Drosophila melanogaster: one gene and its partners. The protein of the gene in region 3 purifies or fractionates together with the protein of the main gene of each other region. This does not show direct contact. Each region holds a gene or a part of one and is shown on either strand. Other genes may lie near its edges. The genes, in order: Sec3, CG4554, CG1105 and CG4004.

The links.
Region 1: the proteins of CG1105 (region 3) and Sec3 purify together in Drosophila melanogaster (affinity purification with mass spectrometry, with the first as the bait; one large-scale study listed by BioGRID). This does not show direct contact.
Region 2: the proteins of CG1105 (region 3) and CG4554 purify together in Drosophila melanogaster (affinity purification with mass spectrometry, with the first as the bait; one large-scale study listed by BioGRID). This does not show direct contact.
Region 4: the proteins of CG1105 (region 3) and CG4004 purify together in Drosophila melanogaster (affinity purification with mass spectrometry, with the first as the bait; one large-scale study listed by BioGRID). This does not show direct contact.

What each region holds. Positions count from the first base shown.
Region 1 is NT_037436.4:17,421,252-17,427,129, forward strand, and holds Sec3 (secretory 3), read right to left. Parts: upstream 3,967-5,878; 5' UTR 3,849-3,966; coding exon 3,195-3,848; intron 3,137-3,194; coding exon 2,909-3,136; intron 2,851-2,908; coding exon 2,401-2,850; intron 2,329-2,400; coding exon 1,847-2,328; intron 1,791-1,846; coding exon 1,283-1,790; intron 1,205-1,282; coding exon 857-1,204; 3' UTR 536-856; downstream 1-535. Other genes in the region: COX7B (cytochrome c oxidase subunit 7B), read left to right, coding at 4,344-4,389, 4,659-4,828, 4,888-4,944; Polr3G (RNA polymerase III subunit G), read right to left, coding at 5,057-5,419, 5,477-5,605, 5,675-5,818. UniProt on the Drosophila melanogaster protein: Component of the exocyst complex involved in the docking of exocytic vesicles with fusion sites on the plasma membrane.
Region 2 is NT_033778.4:22,481,491-22,486,330, reverse strand, and holds the start of CG4554 (uncharacterized protein), read right to left. Parts: upstream 3,029-4,840; 5' UTR 2,913-3,028; coding exon 2,868-2,912; intron 2,803-2,867; coding exon 438-2,802; intron 375-437; coding exon 1-374. Other genes in the region: CG4752 (uncharacterized protein), read right to left, coding at 3,335-3,487, 3,546-4,746, 4,812-4,840.
Region 3 is NT_033777.3:7,063,645-7,068,925, forward strand, and holds CG1105 (uncharacterized protein), read right to left. Parts: upstream 3,493-5,281; 5' UTR 3,395-3,492; coding exon 3,280-3,394; intron 2,654-3,279; coding exon 2,498-2,653; intron 2,077-2,497; coding exon 1,234-2,076; intron 1,126-1,233; coding exon 971-1,125; 3' UTR 542-970; downstream 1-541. Other genes in the region: Mst84B (Male-specific transcript 84B), read left to right, coding at 1-412; CG1965 (uncharacterized protein), read left to right, coding at 3,866-4,085, 4,144-4,445, 5,064-5,281.
Region 4 is NC_004354.4:12,743,343-12,748,271, reverse strand, and holds CG4004 (uncharacterized protein), read right to left. Parts: upstream 2,957-4,929; 5' UTR 2,918-2,956; coding exon 2,405-2,917; intron 1,956-2,404; exon of another isoform or gene 1,901-1,955; coding exon of another isoform or gene 1,553-1,900; intron 1,404-1,552; coding exon 837-1,403; 3' UTR 519-836; downstream 1-518.

The DNA of each region.
Region 1 (5,878 bases), on a different chromosome or scaffold from region 3:
TTTGTTCTCCCTGTCGGAGCTTCATAAAATATGCACCACATTCAGTCGCAAGTCGTTGCGGCTTCTTCCATTTTCCGTTTGCCATTTGCCATTTGCAATTACCATTTGCATTTCACGGAGTTATCAACACGGCACATGAGCACACACGGAAACACGTACGGCTAGAACAATTTAAAATACACGAAATAAAATGCTTATACTGCAGTTGGGTAAATCACGCGGACAGGCGACAACCGATGCGAAAGAGTCGCGCGGCTTGACTGGGAGCACCAGCCCGAACTCCAACGGCTGGCGAACGAAAAGCCACCCCGGAAAGCTCACTCTTCGAGCACTCTCTCTCTCTCTCTCTCTCTTTAGGCTATGATCTATCTCTTTTGATCTTGAAGAGCTCTCTTTGACCTTAGGAGGCTGTTTGAATGTGCACGGTAGTAAATTAGAGTTATACTATAAAAGTATAAATACAAAAAGTCAAACTTCTATCTGTGATTTTTAAAAGCTGACGTACTAAAGATCAAGTAAGATCTCTAGAAATTCTACATTTTTATATATAAAATTTAGTTTACTCGCATTCTTGGACAAAAGTTGAGTATTGGCTATGTAATTTTAGCTTAGAACTTATACAATAATCAACTTCAATGGCTAGCTGTTGAAAAGTTCCCTTTAAGGCCTAGTCTCGTTGATTTTTCACTACGCGATCCCTCTCTCTTGGACGTTTCGAACATTCGCAGATCCACATCTGTTTAAATATACGCGCCATATATTTTGCAATCAGCAGAAACAGCGCTTTAAATACTATTGCACTTAAAAATAAAACCCGGTTGAACCGCTCCCTGACTTTCAGATTCCAATCCCTAGATCAGTGGGAGCGCGCTATGTCCGAGAAGAAGGCGAGTATGTCCTGAATGTTGAACTCCAGGTTGATCATGGCGCCGGCGTAGCACTTTTGGATGCGCTCCTCCAGGTAATTATACTGGGCAATGAACTCCTCCTGCATGGCATGCCATACCACTTGCAGCAGATTCTCCTCCTCGCTCAGGTGCTTTTCCACCTTCTTATATAGGTTCTCCAGTCCTTTCTTCACCTCTCGTGCAGGATACTGAGCGATCACCTTGCGGAGTTCCTGCTTGGAGAATGCCATCTGGTAGCTGATTTCCGTTTCCTTGACTCCCTGGGCCACCTTAAGTTGCACGCCTTCGAAGAATTGCTGCAAAGGCAGAACGGAAATTTATGAGATGAAGATCGACTTATCTTTTCTTCTGGAAGGTCATTGACTTTGGCTTACATTCAGTTTCTCCAGCGGCCGGCCGAAGTACTGAGTCACATACGCTTTTAGCGCATCGTTATAACACTTCTTGGCCTCCTTTTTCAGGGCGTCCAGACCAGGAACCTTGAGCTGGGCTAACAAAGCGTACATGTGGTGGTAGTTCTCCATGCGCACTACCTGAACTGGTGTCTTGGGGTGCTCCTGCGAATGCAGTTGGATGCCCTCAAATATGGCATTCACCAGCTGCAAGTACCACTTCTCCATGTCCGTTCGGCGATCCGATTTCCGAAATATGCCCTCTGCAGTTTGGGCAAAGTTTTCAAAGTTTTCCACATACGGCAGAATGGCCTTAGAACGTTTGTGCAGCTTTGCCTCCCGGATAGACAGTAGTTGGTTCTGCATAAAGCGGTCGAAGCTCCGCTTCACCTGCACCAAGGCGGAAGCGAAGGTCATGCTAAGAAAGGAATGTGTGTCCTGGGCGGACATGACGTGCTGCGTAAGTCGCACAAAAACGTACAGAGAGTAGCTACGAAAACAAATTTGTTAATTACTCCTTACTCCATTACTATATTGTTTACTTACAAGCTGTCTACACGCTCAAAGCTCTGGATGAAGCTAACTAGCTCTGGTTCTAGGCAACCGAAAAGGCCCATCATCAGTTTACGCACATCTTCGTTAATTTGACGGTCAATCCGCTTCTGCGGAACACCATCACCTGATGGCGAAACCGCTCCTGATATGATTGACTGTGTCATATCCACCGCCTTTTCCATCTCCAACGTAGTCTGTGTGTTCTTTGTCGTTGGACTAATAACGTCCATCTGAAAAAAGTTGATGCAGAAAAGCTGTTCCTGCAGGGCGATGGGTTCCAGCTCAGCTAGAACCTTTTCCAACAATGCATCAAAACGCATTCGATCCGCTGTCTCTACACCGGGACCCCACTGATCCCTGTTGATTCCCAGTGTGCCATAAGGTATTGTGGAAACTGCGGACTTTCTTGAAGACGTAGACATGTCCAGATCCTCCCGAGAATTACGAAGCTTTTCCGTCACCTGAATTTTAGCCTATAAAATAATCAGAAGTGATCGAGATTAGCTTAGATTACAAACTATTACATTTCCATGTTCATGTCTTACCAAATTGAAGAAGTTCCTCACATCCCTGTCATAGATCTTGCTCAGCGATGCTGTGTACACACGCATTAGACCATCGTAGGTCTTCCGATCCATGGCTTTTGTCCAGTGCATCAGCTCAGTATAAGGCGTCAGTTCCCGATGGACGTTGGAATGGTTAGGCAGCGTAAGTTCAGTGCTAGTCACCTGCATGTCTCCTATTTCATTGCCCAGGTGGATGAAGAGGTTGTTCATAAACCGACTGACCGTGGCAGAGAATTTTTGTTTCCACTTTTCAAAGCGCTTGCGTTGGTCCTGCACCGCCTCCAAACGCAGCAGAGCAGGATCTATATCGCTGTTCATTGCCTGTTGCAGGCACTGAGCAGCTGCAATGGCTGCTTTGCGTCCATTGGCGGTCTTTAAATCGGGTTCATCCAGAGCCTGCTGCTGGCTGTGCGGCAGATCCAGTTGACTCTGCAGAAGTAGCAGAATTATTAAACAGTATAAAATTGAGTACACTAAGAATACGCACTATGACTTTGTTGAGCTCCTTCATAAGCTTGATATTGTTATTGTTGGCAATTTCGATCATGGCATTTTTGCCTCCAATTTTCTCCATGGTTTCCTTGACATGCCCCAGAATGTCCTCGTAGCTATCAAGACGGTTTTCAAACTTATCCGCCTCGGAGATAGCATTGTCGATGTGTTCCATCATTTTCAGAACCTTCTGTTCCGAGGCAAGTACACTTTGCATATTGGCCTGCGAGATAAGAAATTATGAGTAATGTATACACGGTGGACAAGCCCAATTTACTAACCCCATCCAAATCGTGGAGCTCACGCGACAGCTGCTCTATGAACTGCTCAGCATCTTTAATGGCGAAGTCGCACTCGGAGAAAAGTTTGCCCAGCTCATTGGCCTCTTTGTCCGTCAGAGCGGTAAACTCCTGGGCCTCCTCCTCTTCGTCCTCCTCGTCGTCCATGTGTTGCGTCTTCTGAACCGCTCTGCCCAATGCCACCTTTTCCGGCGACTTCTCCGACAACCACGCTGCGGGCACATTCCGGAATTCCGCCCGCTGGCCACGCACGCTTTTTTGGATTTGGCGATTGAGCACGGCCAGAAAGTTTTGGCGCTCGTGAGGGTTAAGGGCGTACCATTTGTACAGCTTTTCCAACTGCAGATCGAACTCGTGCGTCTCGAACTGCTCGTTCCGGCCGTCAACCCACTTAATCTCGTCCAGCTGCCAGCTCCGCTTGCGCTTGTATTCGCCCTCGCGCTGCTCCGACTGTTTGATCAGGCACAAAGTGACCACGGGTACCGGTGGCGCCGTGGTGACAACGCAAAGGTAGCACGGCTTCTTGTCCTTCTTCTTGACCACCGTCACCACAGAAAGGAGGCGTTCTCCGGAGGCCAAGAAGAGTTCCTTCTGCAGCGTGTGCTTGATGTTGGCCATAGCGCCAATGGACAGCATGGCTGGGTATATCTTCGGGATGCACTGGTCTCGAATAAAGTCCTTTCAAGAATCAACAACTGGCCAGTTGTTTGCACTTGCAATTAGCAATTGGAGAACGCCTCCGCACCAACAGCTGATTTAACAGAGCTTCTGCAGAGGCGTTTACAGACTATCGGTTGGGGATGAGCGCATTGCGTGAGTGTTCTTTACGTGGTTAAAAGTCACATAGCAAAAATATGCTAAGACTACAGAAACCAATTAAAATGTATTAAATCATATTGTTATTTAAACATTTCAGTATAATAGATACATTGAAGGTTTCATCGCATCGTAGGTAATAACAAGTATGCAGCTCGTGATCTCATCCCAACTGTAGGGTAGATATTATTCTATAACAACACAACGGTCACACTGTTCAACACAAGGTAATCTTCGGGTGAGTTATAATGCGAAAAAGTATTGGCAGTGAAAATAAACCCATATTTACCCATTTCCAGCTACTTTCGAGCAATCATGTTGGTTAAGCACATTGTCAAGCAGGGGCTTCTGCTCAAGAACGGTGAGTTGGAGTGGCCCAACACCTCTTTTCAGCAAAACTGCTAACCTTAAAAATTACATAATGTGGATAAGCAAAGGGAGAAACTTCAAGGAACTGCGAAGGAATGGTTCACCCACCAATCTTCAGCATAGCCATGGATATTATCAGAATTAGCCAAACAGATATCGGAAGAAACTTGGATGAGATCATTAACCAAGTTGCATTTCGTTGGGATTACCCCCTTTTTAAAACCAATCACTTGAATATTCTTTCTTGTTCTCTCATTTCAGCTGGCGCTTTGTCGCGTGCCGCTTACCACGGTGGACATGGTCCCCACTCCACCATGAACGATCTGCCCGTGCCCGCTGGAGACTGGAAGGAGCAGCACAGCCAGAAGAACGCCAAGTACAATGCCGCGCTCATCACTGGCATTCTCGTCCTGGCCGGCACTATTGGATTCGTAAGTGGCTGCCATATTCCTTCCATCCCATATCGGTCTTATTGAAATACGCTTTGCAGGTGAAATCTTCTGGTATCATCCACTTCAACTACTACGCGCCCAAGAGCCTGGACTAAGCCAGCGTTCCCTTACGTGTAAATTAATCCAACATTTGTGTTAAATAAGCTTAAAGTGGCGACATAGTAAATCACAGATCCGAAAGTAATCAGTTCGATGGTTTTATTTGTCTCAGTAAACGGGACCATCGTCCAAGTTGTCGTCCTCATCATTGAAGGCTTCTCCATTATCAAAGTACGTTGCACCGTAGTCGTTGTCCTCGTCCATCTCATCATCCAACGCCGCCTCCGGATCTTCCTCCTCCTCCTGTTCGGAATCGGACTCTTGTTTGTTCTCGTCCTGCTCACCGCCACCTGATTTCAGTTCTTTCTGCTCCAGAACCTTCAGTCTGTCCTCGATGTTTGTCTTCTTGGTCAGCAGATTCGGCCTTGCATCTGCTCCACGACGTTTTCGACTGGAGATGTTTAGCTCTTGGGGCATGGCTTTGTAGTTAAAATCGGGTTGTGCTGTGAGCTTCATGCGCTCCATGGCTTTCTGGGGGTGTAAAAGCAGGATTATAAGCAGCTAATTTAAAATAGCCAGTATTATTACTTCTCGCCAGTCCTTGTGATCAAGGTTTTTTGCGTCCCGACTGGCGGAGATCATGTAATAGGGGGAATCTCGCATTCGGTTCAGAAAGTCCTCCTTCCACAGGAGCTGATAGTTCTGTGTGGCTGTTGTCTATCGAAGTAAAACAGGTAAAAAGTTGATCGATGTTTTTTAAACTAATGTAAATGGATTTGTACCCACTTCTAGGGTAGTGGGTCTGTTCAAAACAGGCGGAAATGTAGGTGGCGGCGCCGTCTGCACCGGCATATCCTTTGTGCATCCCAACATGGCCATTTGCTCCGCCGTGAGGGTGCCTGTCTTGCCGCCCCTTCCGCGGCCTGCCATTATAAATGCTTAATTTATTGTATTCTGTTTAGAAACACTTATTTCCGATTGTATTGTTCA
Region 2 (4,840 bases), on a different chromosome or scaffold from region 3:
AGCCGTAATGCTCGACAGTTCGAAACCACTGAGCGTTGTTTTGAATTTTTCTTCATCAATAAGCCCCGATAACTGAGCCTTTTGTTGCACCAGAGCTGCTGGTTGCTTGTAGGCCGCAAGGCAATCCAAAGCCAATTGTTGTAACTGGGAGTTAGGGCCGGCTAGAAGCTCCAGATAAAAGTCATGCATCTCCGCCTGACGATGCAAAGCCTTGGGGTTGGGCTGGGATACGAAACAGGCAAGTTTTAACTGAAGCGTTTGCAGAATAAACTTTGTGTGGGCATTTTGGGTTCTCCTCTTTTGACGGCCTCGGGGCTCGGGTTTGGTTTCATTGTTTTCATTTTCATCATCCTCCTCAACGTCAATATCCGCAGCTAAAGTAGAGTGAACAGCTTTGAAAAACTGATGGATAATGGATATTCATTTAATTAACTTACCCGTCGCCTCGTTCACATTCCAAGTATGCTCCGATTTCTCCAATTGTGCGCGATATTCGTTATCCACAAACTGCAGAAACAATCGCACCAAATCAGCATTCTTTACCTCAGCAAGTGTGCCCAATTTGGGCACGCTTTGCCATAGAAGCTGGCGGTAGTTGAGGGCCTGCTGAAGGGTCAATTGTTGCTCCCCAGGCAAAGTCAGGAGCATGGTTAGTGCTGCCGATTGGTAGTCCCTTTGATATGGCACTTGCAATGTTGTAACTTCCTTCTTGTAGTCTATGCAGGCAACAGTATCGACTAACTTGGCCTTAAATAATGTCCAGAACTCATCCACTGTCATGGTCTTGACGTAGGCAGCCAGGAGCTGTTGAACCGGAGCCCACACAAACTTGAAATTGTTGTATAAAAGGCCAAGTAAGAGGCTAACGGCGTGCTCCTTGAAATGTGGCAACTGGGAGAACTGTTTGAACTGAGCAGATGCCGGCTCCAATTGCTGCAGTTGGAGGAGTAGCTCGCGGTAATTGTGGACAGTGGGCTCGATGCAGGCGGCGGCATTAAAATGGGAATACGGATTTGGTTTGCTCGAGGAGTTAAGCACATCCAAACAGTGGGCAGCTATGCGTCTGTATAGCGATACAGGCTGGCTTAGAAGACCTCCAATTCCGAAAAGTAATTCATCTGAAGTGGATAGCTCGTTCTTGGGGCCTTGTAAAAGAACCACTTGCAAGCAAGCCAAAGCTCGAATGTCCTTTCCCAGTTCAGGAATAAGGTAACCATTAAGAGAAGATCGCAAACTCTTAGGTAAGTTAAATTTGAGCAGTGCGTGAGTTTGAAGTAGCAGGAGCAGTTGTGTAAAATCCTTTCCGTTATCGCATATGAGCTTTTCAATAACTGATTGCAATCCTTGTTCTAATGGCTGCTTGTTAAAACCCCTCAAATGGGGAACTAGGATGATTAAAAGTAGATGTTCCTCTTTGGTCAGGTCTAGGTGCAGAAGTTCTTGTTCCACTAATTTAATGGTGTCCTTTTGTTTTAACTGGAGAGGATATGCCACCCATTGGGCCAGTGAGTTACCATCAACTTTTAGCGGCCGTTTGTGCAGAACGATGCGAGCCAGCAACTCCCGCGCTCTTAATTGCCTCTGTTCTTCAAAGTACCCAATAACGTTGGGGAGAACCAGAATCTCAAACTGTGAATAGTCCAGAAGCTGCAGAATGGCGTCTTCGTACACGGTCACTTGTTTTCGACTTATGCTTAACAGCTTTTGCAGCAGACGGCTGGCATCCAACTGGGATAGTTGAGTGTGCTGAGCCTTCAACAGACTGGTCACCAATGTTGTTAAGGGCTGAAGAGGATCCAGTTCCCGGTCCAAAAGCTTTAGCAGAGTGCCAACTACCAGCGGAAGCTCGGAGACATATCGCCCATCCTTGTGGGTGACCAGGGGAAGCATTAAGTCGATAACCCTTTGTTCATCCACGCTTTCACTGCTCGCAGCCGAACAGAGTTTCTGCCACAGAATGTTGCTTTGGTCTGAGCGCAGAAAGTTGAGCAGCAGACCCAAAGAATACTCCACGATATCTCCCAAAAGTTCTGTTTGGTCTTTGGTGTGAGCGGAATCCTTGTTGACAAGCACCTCCAGGACGTGGGCAAAGATTTCGGCCGCCGAGTTGTGCAGCTGTCCGTTGACGCCGCGCAGAATTTCGTAGATGAGTCGTCCGCAGCCGTGGACACTCTCCACCTGCTCACGCAACACAGTCTTCAGCACATAGGTCAGGAAACGCGGGAAATCACGGACATCACGAGCAATGTAGGCAAAGCATTCTACCGCAAAGTTGGTCACATGCTCGGCATAGTGCTGTTCATCCAGAAGCGGTAGAATTGCATTGAAGACAACACCTATGTTGCGCTTCAAATAAGGCTTGAGCGTCTTGAACAAATGCGCCAGGCAGATGAGCGTCCATTCCAGTTGCTCGGAGTCTTGGGTGTTCAGCAGGCAGATAAGTCGGTCCAGGACTCGCTGGAAGTACGGGTAGAACTCCTCACGGAGATCCTTGGCCAGGACATAGAGCAGTTCCAACAGCGGCTGTTGGGACAAATTCGTGGCGGTGGAAAGACGTTCCAGGAGCAAGTCTACAACAAAATCCTTCTGGTGCAGCAGCTGCGGCAGGGTGACTATCTTGCGACAGCGCTTGCTGAAGTAGTTGTACTCCTCGGAGAGATTGAGCACGTTCCATTTCTGAATCGTCTGCTGGAAGTAGGTGGCATTCTCCTCTTCGTCGAGCTCCTCGTTCCGATGGCCGATGTGGTAGAGGGCCAAGTGCCGCAGGTCGATTTCATTCACCCGATCTCCGAAAGATTTGAACTGCGGGTGAAAAACGTGTAAGGCGGTTGGTCACCAAACAACTCGAGACTTCTGGGGACACTCACCCGAAAGGTATTGGTGTCCTTCGTTTTTTCCGCTAAAGATGCCATGTTTCTACAGTTTACACTCGACTGCTTAATTTACGGAAAAAACTCTTTTGTTTACGGACAATTTTCTTTCAAATGCAACACGTGCGAAACATATTTACGCACTGTTATCGATAGACAGTCGGCGATTGCACTTACTGAAAACATATGTTCGCTTGAAAATATCGATAGTACAGCATATCGTTCCGAAATGGCGCACTTTTTTAAATGGTCTTCGAAACAATTTAACTTTATAGAATCTTCATTAAATAAAAATTAATTGAATATTAACTGAACATTTTATATGCAATTTTCCACAGCTCGCTGTAATATGCGCCACTCAGTTTGTTTGTTTGATAAGGTCTTTTAAAAAAATAACTCAGTGTTTCAAAAGTCAAGGGACATTTATTAATATGGCACATATAAAAGCGAAATCAAAAATTTGCTTAGGCAGACTCCTGGCACTGAAGATAATTAAAGACAGTTCCTCGTTCCACGTATCGTTTGCTGGTTTCCTGATTCAAGGATTCACCGGACTTGGAAAAGTCTTCAATTGGTCCATACCCACCCCCGCCGGGAGTTTTCATGGCAAAGGTGTCCTGAAAAGGATGGATAAGTAGTTAGTTGAGTTACAAATAAATGCATATCAAAGTATACCCCAGCTTCCACATCAATGCAGGTTTTGCCTGCCAGAGCGATCACTCGACCATCCCGTTTCACCACCAAATTGCGTCCACTCTTCCCGGATTCTCCACCTGCGAGACCGTAGGGCTGCAGAGTTCGTCTCTCTGTCAGGACGGACAGGGTAACTGGCTTGCGGAAGAGGAGATCCCGCTCCACACCCTCGCCTCCGTGGAACTGACCTCTTCCGCCGGAGCCATCGGTGCGAAGGCAGAATCTCTTCAGGATCATGGGATAGCGCAGTTCAAGGATCTCCGGATCAGTGATGCGAGTGTTCGTCATGTGGGTATGCACTCCGCCGGCTCCATGCCAGCCGGGCCCAGCACCAGCTCCTCCGGCCACAGTCTCATAGTAACCCCAAGACTCATCCCCAATAGTTATATTGTTCATGCATCCTTGCGAGGCGGCACAAACTCCGAAAGCCTTCAGAACCGTGTCTACGATGCGCTGCGATGTCTGCACATTGCCGCCGACCACAGCTGCTCCCTCTGAGGGATCCAGGATGGAGTTTTTCGGAATGATCACCTGGATGGGTGCCAGGCAGCCCTGGTTGAGTGGCACATCATGGCCCACCATGCAGCGCAGGCAGTAGATTAGGGCGGACAAGGTAATAGCCCGCGGAGCATTACAGTTGCCCCACACTTCCACTCCCGATCCGGTGAAGTCACAAAGAGCCGAACCCTGCTCCGCATCGATGGTCACCTTAAGGGCGATGGGTGATCCGTCGTCCATGAACTCCTTCGCCTCTAGCACTGTCGATCCAGTGCGCTCCAAAGTATCCCGGCCAATCTGACGCAACATATCCCGAACCGCCAGTTCGGCGTTCTTTTGGATGTGCGACATGTAGGCCTGGACCACATCTAATCCATAGCTGCCGATCAGCTCCGCCACCAGCTGGATGCCCTTGTGGTTGGCGGCGATCTGAGCCTTCAGATCTGATAGGTTGTCGCTCAGGTTCCGGGTTCCCACAGCTCCCTTTGCTGCCGTGGGCGTGGTCAGCTGCTCGATGATCTGCTGCTCCTGAAACAGGCCATTCTCTACAATCAGGAAGGACTTGAAGGCGGCACCTTCCTGGGCCAACGAGGTGGAATGCGGCGGCATAGATCCAGGAGTAATTCCACCAATATCCGCATGGTGACCACGGGAGGCCACAAAGAAAACTGGTCGCGGATGAGTTCTGGAAGAAATTATATATGTTAGTCTGACTGGACAAATACCCACAAAAACTTCTTTACTACTCACTCATAAAAGACCGGCGTGATGACAGTTAA
Region 3 (5,281 bases):
TAAATACAAGTTCAAGGAAGCAGCCCAAGTTAAGAAGAATGCTAGCAAATCTGCTCCAGTAGCTAAAACGGATGTCAAAGAGAACATCAAACAGGAGGTAAAGAAGGAGGTGAAGAAGGAGATCGCTAAAACGCCATCTCCGCCTCCTGCCCAACCACCAAAAGCTGCTAATCCATCCCCTCCACCATCTAAAGCCGCACCACCCTCACCACCGAAGCCGAAAGCCAATCCCGAAGGACTTTTTCAGATATGCAAAAAAATAGCCGAAAAGAAGCTTAGACAAAGGAAAAAGAAGATGAAGATCCTCAAGGCCAAATGCAAAAAAATAGCTCTGAAGGAACAGTGCAAGTGTGAGAAGAAAGCAAGAAAGGCCAGGGAACTGAATGAATACTGCAAGAAAAAGAAGAAGTAAATATGGAACGATAGCACCATCATTCCAAGTTCTTAAATCTCCCAATGCTCCGTATAAAACAAGTTCCTCAAGGCTCAACACATTTTTGGCTCCCAGGATTTGGCTATGCCCATGTATCAAACCTTCATTATCTTTTGTGTTTTATTACGATTATAGTCGTACATCAGTTTTAGGCACTATTGCTGGCTTAAAAAAAAACAGAAAAAATTAAATTTGAGCAGTTTAAATCGGAATTGACAATTGTGCGTATTTATACGATTATTAAATTAAACACAGATGCAGTCAAAATAATAAAGACCCAATTCTTTGTATTTACTGTCCGAAAGCTATTTAATTATAAACAGAAGTTAAGCATTTCAAAAACTTTGTATAGGTAGACCTTTTTTATTTTGACTGCACCTGTTTATGCTTTCTATTTGGACGGAAAGCTAATATTTCATAAATGCAAAGCCGATAAAAATTGCGAAAGCTAACCCTCCAGAAACAGAGACAGCCAGAAGAAAATAGTTCGACATCAAAGTTTAAGAATATCATTGTGGGTCTAGCTTAGAGATTCAATCACTGGCTAGCTGGCGGTGCTGTGGCATTATTAAACTGGAAAGTCGGATACCGAGGTGCGAAGGCTCCGTCGCCGATCATCTGCGTATGCTCGGAGTCGTCCCTACCGGCGATCGTTGGTGCCCGGTACTGTGTCTCCACAAACTGCGGTGGCGCTGCAAAATGAAAATAGAATATTTTAATAAATAAAGATATATAACCCTACTAAGAAGCTTTTATAATTTAAAAGAAAATCCACAAAACTCCATAATTTTAATACTCACGTATATTAGGATACAGTGAACCACCACCAGTACTGTCAGCCACGTTCCAGCCTAGAGCACCACCCACGCCATCGCCGCCAGGAGGGCTCGCCGGGCTCACTGGCTGTGTGGGCGCCAGCGATGGATCCTCGGACTGAACCGCCGACGGAGCATCCGTAAATTGAGTAGGTGGCCGTACGCCAGCCAATGGAATAGTGCCCAAGGTGATTGGCACCTTGCCAGTGAGATTGCGGTGCGGACCGCTCACCTCGCACTCCACATGCAGGTCGTAGTCCAAAGCGATAATCCCGCAGTTGAGGAGGTTGGTCGGTGGCAGCGCCGGAATCTCCATTTGTTGCGTAAACGTGCGAGACTCGCCGCCATTGACTGGGCCAACACTTAAGTTGGCTATGATCACCTTGGACTCGCGCTTCTCGCTCCGTGGCTGGTTTGTGTGGAAGGTGACCAGCTTACGCAGTTCAAACTTCACTGCCGTAAGATTTACGTTGCTGGTGTTGTCCACCTCGCAGGTGATGGGCAGCACCTGCCCCGAAACGAATCCTGTTTGCGGGATGTTCGTGATGACAGCCAGCGGTCCTGAGCGACAGCAAAAACAGCAGAATGACTTTTCTAGCTCGAGCTTGAATGGCTCCTTGACTCGAGGATTGAGATTTAGATCAACGGGCGCTATTACTGTGAACGCCATCTTCATGTCCTGATCGAATTTCCACGGACGATCAAGCGTCACCTTGATGGTATAGCGCACATGGCCAAATTCGCCCTCAAAGGATGAGGGTAGATTAGGCGGCAGAGCACAGGTGAATGGATAAGTGTGAGTGCCAGGCGGTAGTTCCGTCTCAGAGCCTGCAAAATCATACATTTAACTTTTAGCATTTTAAAAAGGTCACTTATAGCTTATTATGTTTTCAATTCTTACGCGCAGAGGAAGGGTCTGTCAAGGTATATTATTTAATAAAGCTAAATAAAAACATTAAATTATTGTAGTTTCAAAAGGAGAAGTTATTAATGCTATAAGGTGTATAGTAATTACAAGATTTAGTTATTATTTTATATAGAGCGAGGAAGTGCAATCCCATTTATTCGATTCATATAAGGACAAATTTAATTTTAAACAAAAATCTTCTTGGCCAATTCTTACACCATAGAATACAAAAATTTATGCTTAATAATAGACACTTTCAATAATTAAATCCTCCAATTCTTTTCAGATAAACTAAGGTCTGGCAACCGGGGAGTGAATTCCCGGTCTGTTTTTTGTACTTACTGTTTTTGCCGCCCAGCAGATAGTACTGGATCTTAAAGTACTCCTCATGCCCCTTCAGTTGGGTGACCTCGTTCTCGGTCTTGCCCTCGCTGGTGGTTACGCTCTTCTCCTCTGACCACTCGGTGTTGGCTTCTCCCAGGAACCGAATGATAATACCTACGAGAAACAAGTGGCTGTATTTACGGAATGACAATCGACGACGTCACTGTGGCGCTTTAATTTTAGCTATAAATAATATGAAAAGCTTTCTAAGGCATACTCAACGGATGACATCATCGCTACCAGGCAGCATCTGTCTCCCGTGTTTGGTGACCTCAAAATTTGATTATGGTGGAATGTTTGCCACATAGGTTACATGCCCCCGTCAAATGTACTACATATTTATTTACTTTCTTTTGTATTCATTCACACTTGGAGCTATTTATAGTTGTTATCGCCCAACTGAAAAGAGGAGAAAGTGCATTTCTTTGGAGGGTTTAACAACCGCCAGCTTTCTGAAAACAAGGTCGTTTAGGCACCGAAAGAGCAACCGACATTTGTGGGTGGTGCGCCGGCTTTTTGCGTCAGGATTTTAAGAAGTTAGCAAGGAAACTACCAACGACAGCCAGTGAACATCCTGCACATTGAAGACGAAAGTGCTATGTATATTTATTTACTAAATTTCCAATTAATCATTGACTCTTACACAGGTGTCGTCACTCCTATGAGTAATAGTAAGCAGCTGGGGTTTTAATTAGCATTCTCCAGCGCTGCCCACAATTGGGACTTGGATTCGCACTTACCTCGGACTTTTTTGGGCGAGTCGAACGTAAACTTCACCTGGCCGTTGACCGTCTGACCGGCGTAGTAGGTGTTCCACGGGTTGTCCAATTGCAATTCACAACCTTTAAGGCCCATGTTAGAGATTCTGTGACTCAAGGCACCAATAAGTTAACGACTTTTCGGTCTGTTTTGAAACGCCCTGCGGTCGCCGAATTCAGAGATTAGAGATGGCCGTTGTCGGTATCTAGGGATGAAAAGTCATCTAAGCTCTTGCCGATATTTTAATAAGACCAGTTTTATGTGTAGCTGCCCTGGGTATACAAATTAATGTATTTATCACATTTTTATTTAATTGTTACAATAGTTTCAAAATTTGTAAAGCTATTCATATTTTCAATACAGAAAAGTTTTGTAAGTGCTAGACCGAGGACCGAGAATTAACGTTCCAGCCCTGCTCGTGACTCACGTGAGCACGAGAACGACATCGAAAGATTTTCATCTCTATTACAATACGACAGCAAGAAGAAGAGATCTTGCGAAAATTCGCTTTTCTTCCGATTTTTCATTGATTAAACAAATCGCAGAGTAACAACAACATCGTGGAAAATGTCGCTTTTTCGCAAACCGAAGAAAATTCAGCGACGCGTGTTCTCCAGCAACGCTGACGAAGAGGAGGACGGCGCATCCTTGGATCCGGACGCCGAAATGGAGGCGCCACCGCCTCCCATAATTTCGGGCAAGAGGGAGAAAGAGAAGAGCCGGAAGGCCATAAAGCCGCAGGAGGACAACAGCAAGCCAAAGGCGCTGCTCAGCTTCGCAGATGATGGTGAGTGATACCGGAATATAAAAAGAGTATGGAGCCAAAATCCCCAATTCTTTTGCAGAGGATGACGGCGAGGTGTTCCAGGTGCGAAAGTCGTCGCATAGCAAGAAAGTGATGCGCATGCTGGACAAGGAACGCCGCAAGAAGAAGCGCGAGGAACGGGCGGAAAACAGCGGACATCCCGGGGGCGAAAATGGTAGTACACAGCATTTAGAGTCGTCCGGTGGCCCATCATCGGGTCCCCCGAATTCCAACTCGAATCCTGCCAATGCTGGCAGATATAAAAGTGCCAGCGATCAGAGTAAAAGTAAAAAAAGTGATAATCATATGATCCAAACCGAAATACGCACAGACGACTTTGTGGTAAGGTTATTATTATTCAATTTCTTCTACAATAATACCGTTTAACGAAATTTCAACATCAGAAATTACATTGAATTATCGTAGAACAATTAGCAGCAAAGATTAGGCTGAATGAGTTTAAATGTGTTATTAAATTAGTTGGTTTTTCTGGTCTGAAGTGCCAATTTTAAAATATTAGTAGCTTAGACGTTGATTTGCTTGGCGTTTTAACTGGTCAGTGATGGGAAGTGTCTAGGATCTGCGATCCAACTATCACTCAACATAAAATTTCCAATTATAATGCGATCTTTAAGTACTACTACTGTAACTATGACCACGAATTAGAAAATTTATCACAGAACATTCTAACTCATTCTTTCTTTGATAATAAATTGACGCATACAACTTGACCTTACCAGAAGAAAACTATTTAAATATTATGTAACATTCAAAGATATATTTTTTGAATTACCAAAAATCAAAGCCATTGCTAACGTAGTCACATAAATAGTAATTTTCCCACCATTGATAGTCGCATGTCTTCCCTTCCACAAAAGCAGCATGAATACCAATGCTTCACCCTAATCGAAGTCCTTTAGGAATCCACAATAATATAAAACTTACTTATCTTGTCCCCAGCTAGTGGTAAAGAAATCTGAGACTCCCGAGGCAATTCTGAACGGTAGAGCTGCCCTTTGCGCTGGACGGGAGGATATGAGCGATGAAGAAGACCAGCAATCCGAGGATGGTGGCCATGACAAAACGCGTCACCGTTTCTCCAAGCCAGAACATTTGAAACAGATGCTCGAAAGTGGTTCCATTCCGGATGCAGCAATGATACACGCTGCCCGAAAACG
Region 4 (4,929 bases), on a different chromosome or scaffold from region 3:
GTGAAAGGGCAAGACAGTGCGAGAGGGCGCGATAGATTTCGAGAAAGAGACGAACGCCAGTATAACGGCAATGGCAATGCCAACAAATTAAAGTTACTAAAGCAAAGGAAACGGCAAAGGAAAAGATTGGGAGTGTGTAGAAAAGAAAAGGAGTAAAGAAGGAAAAGAGAACACAGCGGCAAGGCAAAGAAACCTGAAATAAAAGAATCGCAGCACAGCAGCAGAAAATTAGCAAAACGGGAAGAAGGCGGAGGAGATGAAGAAGTAGAAGAAAGAAGAAGGCAGGCTGACAAAACAAGATGTGCTGGCTGCTTGTCGGGGAAAGGGGGCGGGGATGAAGAGGGGAAGGGATCCGCATGCAGAACCACTTAGTCAAATTTTAAATGAATAACAACCAGTTCCTTTATTTGCTTTCATCCTTTTTGTTTTTGCCCTTTTCTTCTCCTTCCCTTTTGCATCGCATTTTCGCTTTTAGCCGTTTTCGCTTTACATTTGCCATTTCTGCATTTTTTTTTTTGGTTTTTTTTTTGCTTAGCGTTGCAGGCGGCTAAAAATATCATTCATTTCGGTTCTATCTATTTTTCCACTTAAACTACGAAAACTTAAAAATATTGTCGAGTTTTCAGCTTAACTTAATTACATTTTTGTTTCTTATGCAATATTAATTATTGCTATAACGGACATAGTGCATTTTGTCGTTCAATATTATGCTTTTTTTTTAAACCGTAATGCCAAATGAAATGATCGTTAAAGATAGAATTTGAAATAATTAAATTGTCGTTCATACGTTTTCAATCGCATTTTCATATGCGAAATGAGTTTTAGTTTAGTTTCACTTATTTATGACCCATACTAAATTGGGTCTCGAACGAAAGGCGATTCATTCGGCCGTAGACCAACACCTCGCTAATGATCCGTTCGGCGAAAAGTCGCTGATCCGGACGCATACGCCGGAAGTGGCTGGCCATCCGTTTTCCGATCAGCTCGCACTCGTACTCGCTGTCGCTTTCATGCTTTCTGTCTCGCTCCCTATCCCGCTCTCTATGCCAGTCTCTATCTCTATTCGAAGTCTCCACATTTCTACGCTTTCTCGCCGCTTCAACGTAATCGGTGTCATTGCTACTGCGTCTTCGTCGGTTACGGATGCGACGTCCGGATTTATCCGAAGTCTGCGATTCACCGTTATGCTGCTGGTGCGAAGATACGGTGTGCTGCTGATAGCCATTGTTCTTAATGCTCCCAGCCGATGAATTGTTACGATAATCATCAACATGATCATCCATGTTATCCAATTCGGGATCGTTATCAGGCTCGGGTTCCGGTTCAACATCGCCATCACCCACGGCATCAAGACGTAGCATATCCTCTTCGTGTGGAAAGGCATCAGACATAATGTCAACATCCTGAAAGTAGATAAATTAAATTAAATATATCAGTATCCCTTTTTTTTGATTAACTGTATTACTATACTAATACTATAAGTATATAATGGATAATACTAAATCCACAATACACAGATCTACATATGTACTAGAGATCTGCATTAGTTCACCGCAACTACAAGTACACCGCAGCCGAAAACGGCCGGCAGTCCTCCGCAATCCACTTGGAAACTGCATTCAACGCCTCCTTTTTGTCTGGAGCAGACACAATCCGTAGGGCAGTTGGTTGCCGAAAAGATTGACAACATTTGTGCCTGGCTAAATTTGAAGTTTGATTGCCAACACATTTTAGGAATTTTTCGACATGAGCGGCAGTAAACCAAGTCGTTTAAAATTGATCCATCATCCTTAATAATCCCGCTTAAAACATTCCAGACGAAACTCTTTCCCTTGAGCTTGGGCTCCAAGGAGTAAAGGCCACTTGCAATCTGCTCGGCGATAAATGCGTGGTCCGACATTCTGCTACATTCGCAACGACTGAAGACTCTCACAAGTAATAAAGTCAGTGAATAGAAATATTGCAAAACCAATGCACCGGGCTTAAAAAAGGCTACAAAAAGGAAATATGCAAAAGCAACTGTAAACTTAATGTTTTTTTTTTTTTTGTTCTTGCACATTGTCATTCTTCTAAGTGTGTGACATTGGCCTTGGTCGATTTTAGGCATGTGTATTCTGCTACGCGGTGTGCGACTTCCGCGCGTAAAAGACACAGAATACATTTTTGAGTGTGTCCTATTCCGTCGCATATTTTTGTGTATTGTCTGTGTTCCACACACAGACAATGCGGTGGTAAAACACCGCAAACGCATTTGATGCGGTTGTTACTTAAACCGCCACCGCTTTTTATGCGAATATACTTGTAGTGCTCAAATCAGGCACCGGTGCCGATCTCTGGTACCTACATATATACATATATGCCCTACATAATGAAGTTCCATAAAATTCCTTCATAGATCACTTACTTCGGTCTCCAATTGCTGCATATCCTCGGTTATATTCTCATCAACTTCAATTTCTCGCTTCACAATAAAGCTCATTGATACCTCCTGTTCCGCCAATTGCGCTCCGAATGTTATCGTTTTATTTGACTCATTCTGCAGGACTTTCGAATTTCGAACCAAATCCCGATCGGCGGCCACTATGCCCTCCAATTGCAGTTCACCGGTTTCCAGTTCATAGAGAAAGTCTAGTTCTTTGAAATACCAAAGCGTTGGCTTATATGTGTTCCCACTATCCAGCACCTTTCGCAATTCCCGGCGATACGAGGTCCGAAAATTGTTGATCTTACGTTTGAGCGTATGGATATTGGCATAGCTATCGGTCGTGCGTAGCAGCTCTAATAATCGGCTATAGGATTCGAGCTTCAGCTGGCGATCGCGATACAGTTTACTGCGCACCAGCCACAATTCGGGCATCGAACGGTACAACCCGAGGAATTTCTTCCAAAAATCGATCGCCGTGTGCGTGTGCGACATGTCTGTCTAACGTCCGTCGCGCGACTGAAGCTTGCATCGTAAATTGGTCGTACGACCGGCGTTTCATTTGTCCTGCGAACGCCGTCAAACGCCGTCAAACCACGTCAAACGCGATTCAACCAGATTCTATACATATACATACGCTTAATTTTACAGAACTGCCAGACTTAACATATGATCATTTCATATCCTACATGCATATGCATGCATGCATACTTTATGAAAACCAACAAATAATACAAATAATAATAATAATAAATATATTTCCTATGTTACCTATATTGCCTATGTATATACAAATATATTTATCTACCTATTTATATGAAAATTACTTAAATTTGAAATTTATCCAATAAAGAAGTCCAAGGACTATGTAAACACTCACGCATTGCGGTCGTAACTCACCTGAATGCTGGTCTCGTCGAGACTATCGTCCACGTTCTCGGATTTCACCCTGGCCGGCGATTGTATGTTGAGTACCGGCTTGAGGAAATCCATCAGATGAAACCACCAGAGACGCGTCTGGTAGCCATTGACCGATTCCTGTACCTTTTTGAATTCACGACGATAGCAGCAACGCAGCGAGTTTATCTTTCGCTTAACATCCTGAATCGAACAGTTGCTATTAACGCGTCGCAGTATCTTCAATAGCTCCTGATAGCCGGGCTCCTTTTTCTGTTTCGATAGATAATCGGGACTGCTGCTGTCCCACAGGGCGGTGAAATACTGATAACAGCTGATGAACTCCTCCATGATTTCGGGCTCATCGTACAAGCATGTGCCGCCCATCTGGGACATTAAGTAGTCTGGTTTTTTTTTTTTTGTTTTTGTTAACTTTGGTTTTATTGCACGTTTTCACGCTCGATTCGACGGTCTGACGTTGAATGATAGAGAATGACAAAGTCGCAATGGGTATTATACAATTTTCGGTATGATGATTGTTCATTTCGCTTGTTTGCTGTATGATGCGGCGTGTCATGCAAGTGCAACGTGTGCGAGCCTGTTTTTTATGTCCACTCCATCGGCTTGTGACTCTTTTGTTATTTACGTATGTTTGTTAGCAAAAAAAAAAAAAAAAAATATCACTGTTCCAGCATTTGCTTGCTGTTGTTTTCTTCTTTTTTTTTGTTGCTCTCCTATGCCGTCAAGCGTGCGCGACGTTGTCACTTTTCAGTTCGCTTCGAACATGTTGCGACGTTACGGCTTTTGTGTGCCCTGCTGCTCGATTTATTTCGCACTGAAAAACGGCAACGTCGCGCGACCGTCGAGCGAAATGAATTGGAAAAAAGCGAAAAGCTTAGAAAAAATGTTGCAAGTCTTCTTCCGCCGGCCGGTTGCCAACAAAAACAACCACAACGAATAGGGGAGCTGGAAATAGCGGAAAGAGGTAAAGAAAAAGGGGGAAGAGGGCGAAAAACACTAATAAAAACAAAGAAAATCCAAAACAAAAAACGCGGATAGATTAAAAGCAATGTATGAACGTTTTTTGATCGATTTATAGATTATATACATATGTACATATGTCGCAATTTTTAAGCTTATAAATTAAGCATCAAAAGGCAATTACAGTTTAGAATAAAACGCATTGGGCAAATCGGTTTGATCAGTGGCAGCGAACTTGCAACCGAATTGGGCGATTACAGGTAAATCGCACGTGTGCATTCAACTCAATTTTTTTCCCGTTTAGGCTGGCCGTTGCCCTCTTTCCATCTGCCGCCCACCATTCCCACACCGCTCATCACCCCCTCGTGACCCCGCATAACCCCGCCCGCTTTTCCAACCGCCTGCGCTCAGCGCATTTCACTTTCACTGCAAATTGGCAAGTGACAAAAAAAAAAAACGCGCAAAAACAGAAAAACAAAAGCAACAGAAACAGAAACAAAACAGCAGAGGAAAAACAAAACACATGAACGCAGACGAATGAAAATTATCAAAGGAGTGCGGGGAGGGGGATGTGGTACATACGCAAGAACGAAAATCAAACCATTGAAAATGCGCACTTTTCCACTTAT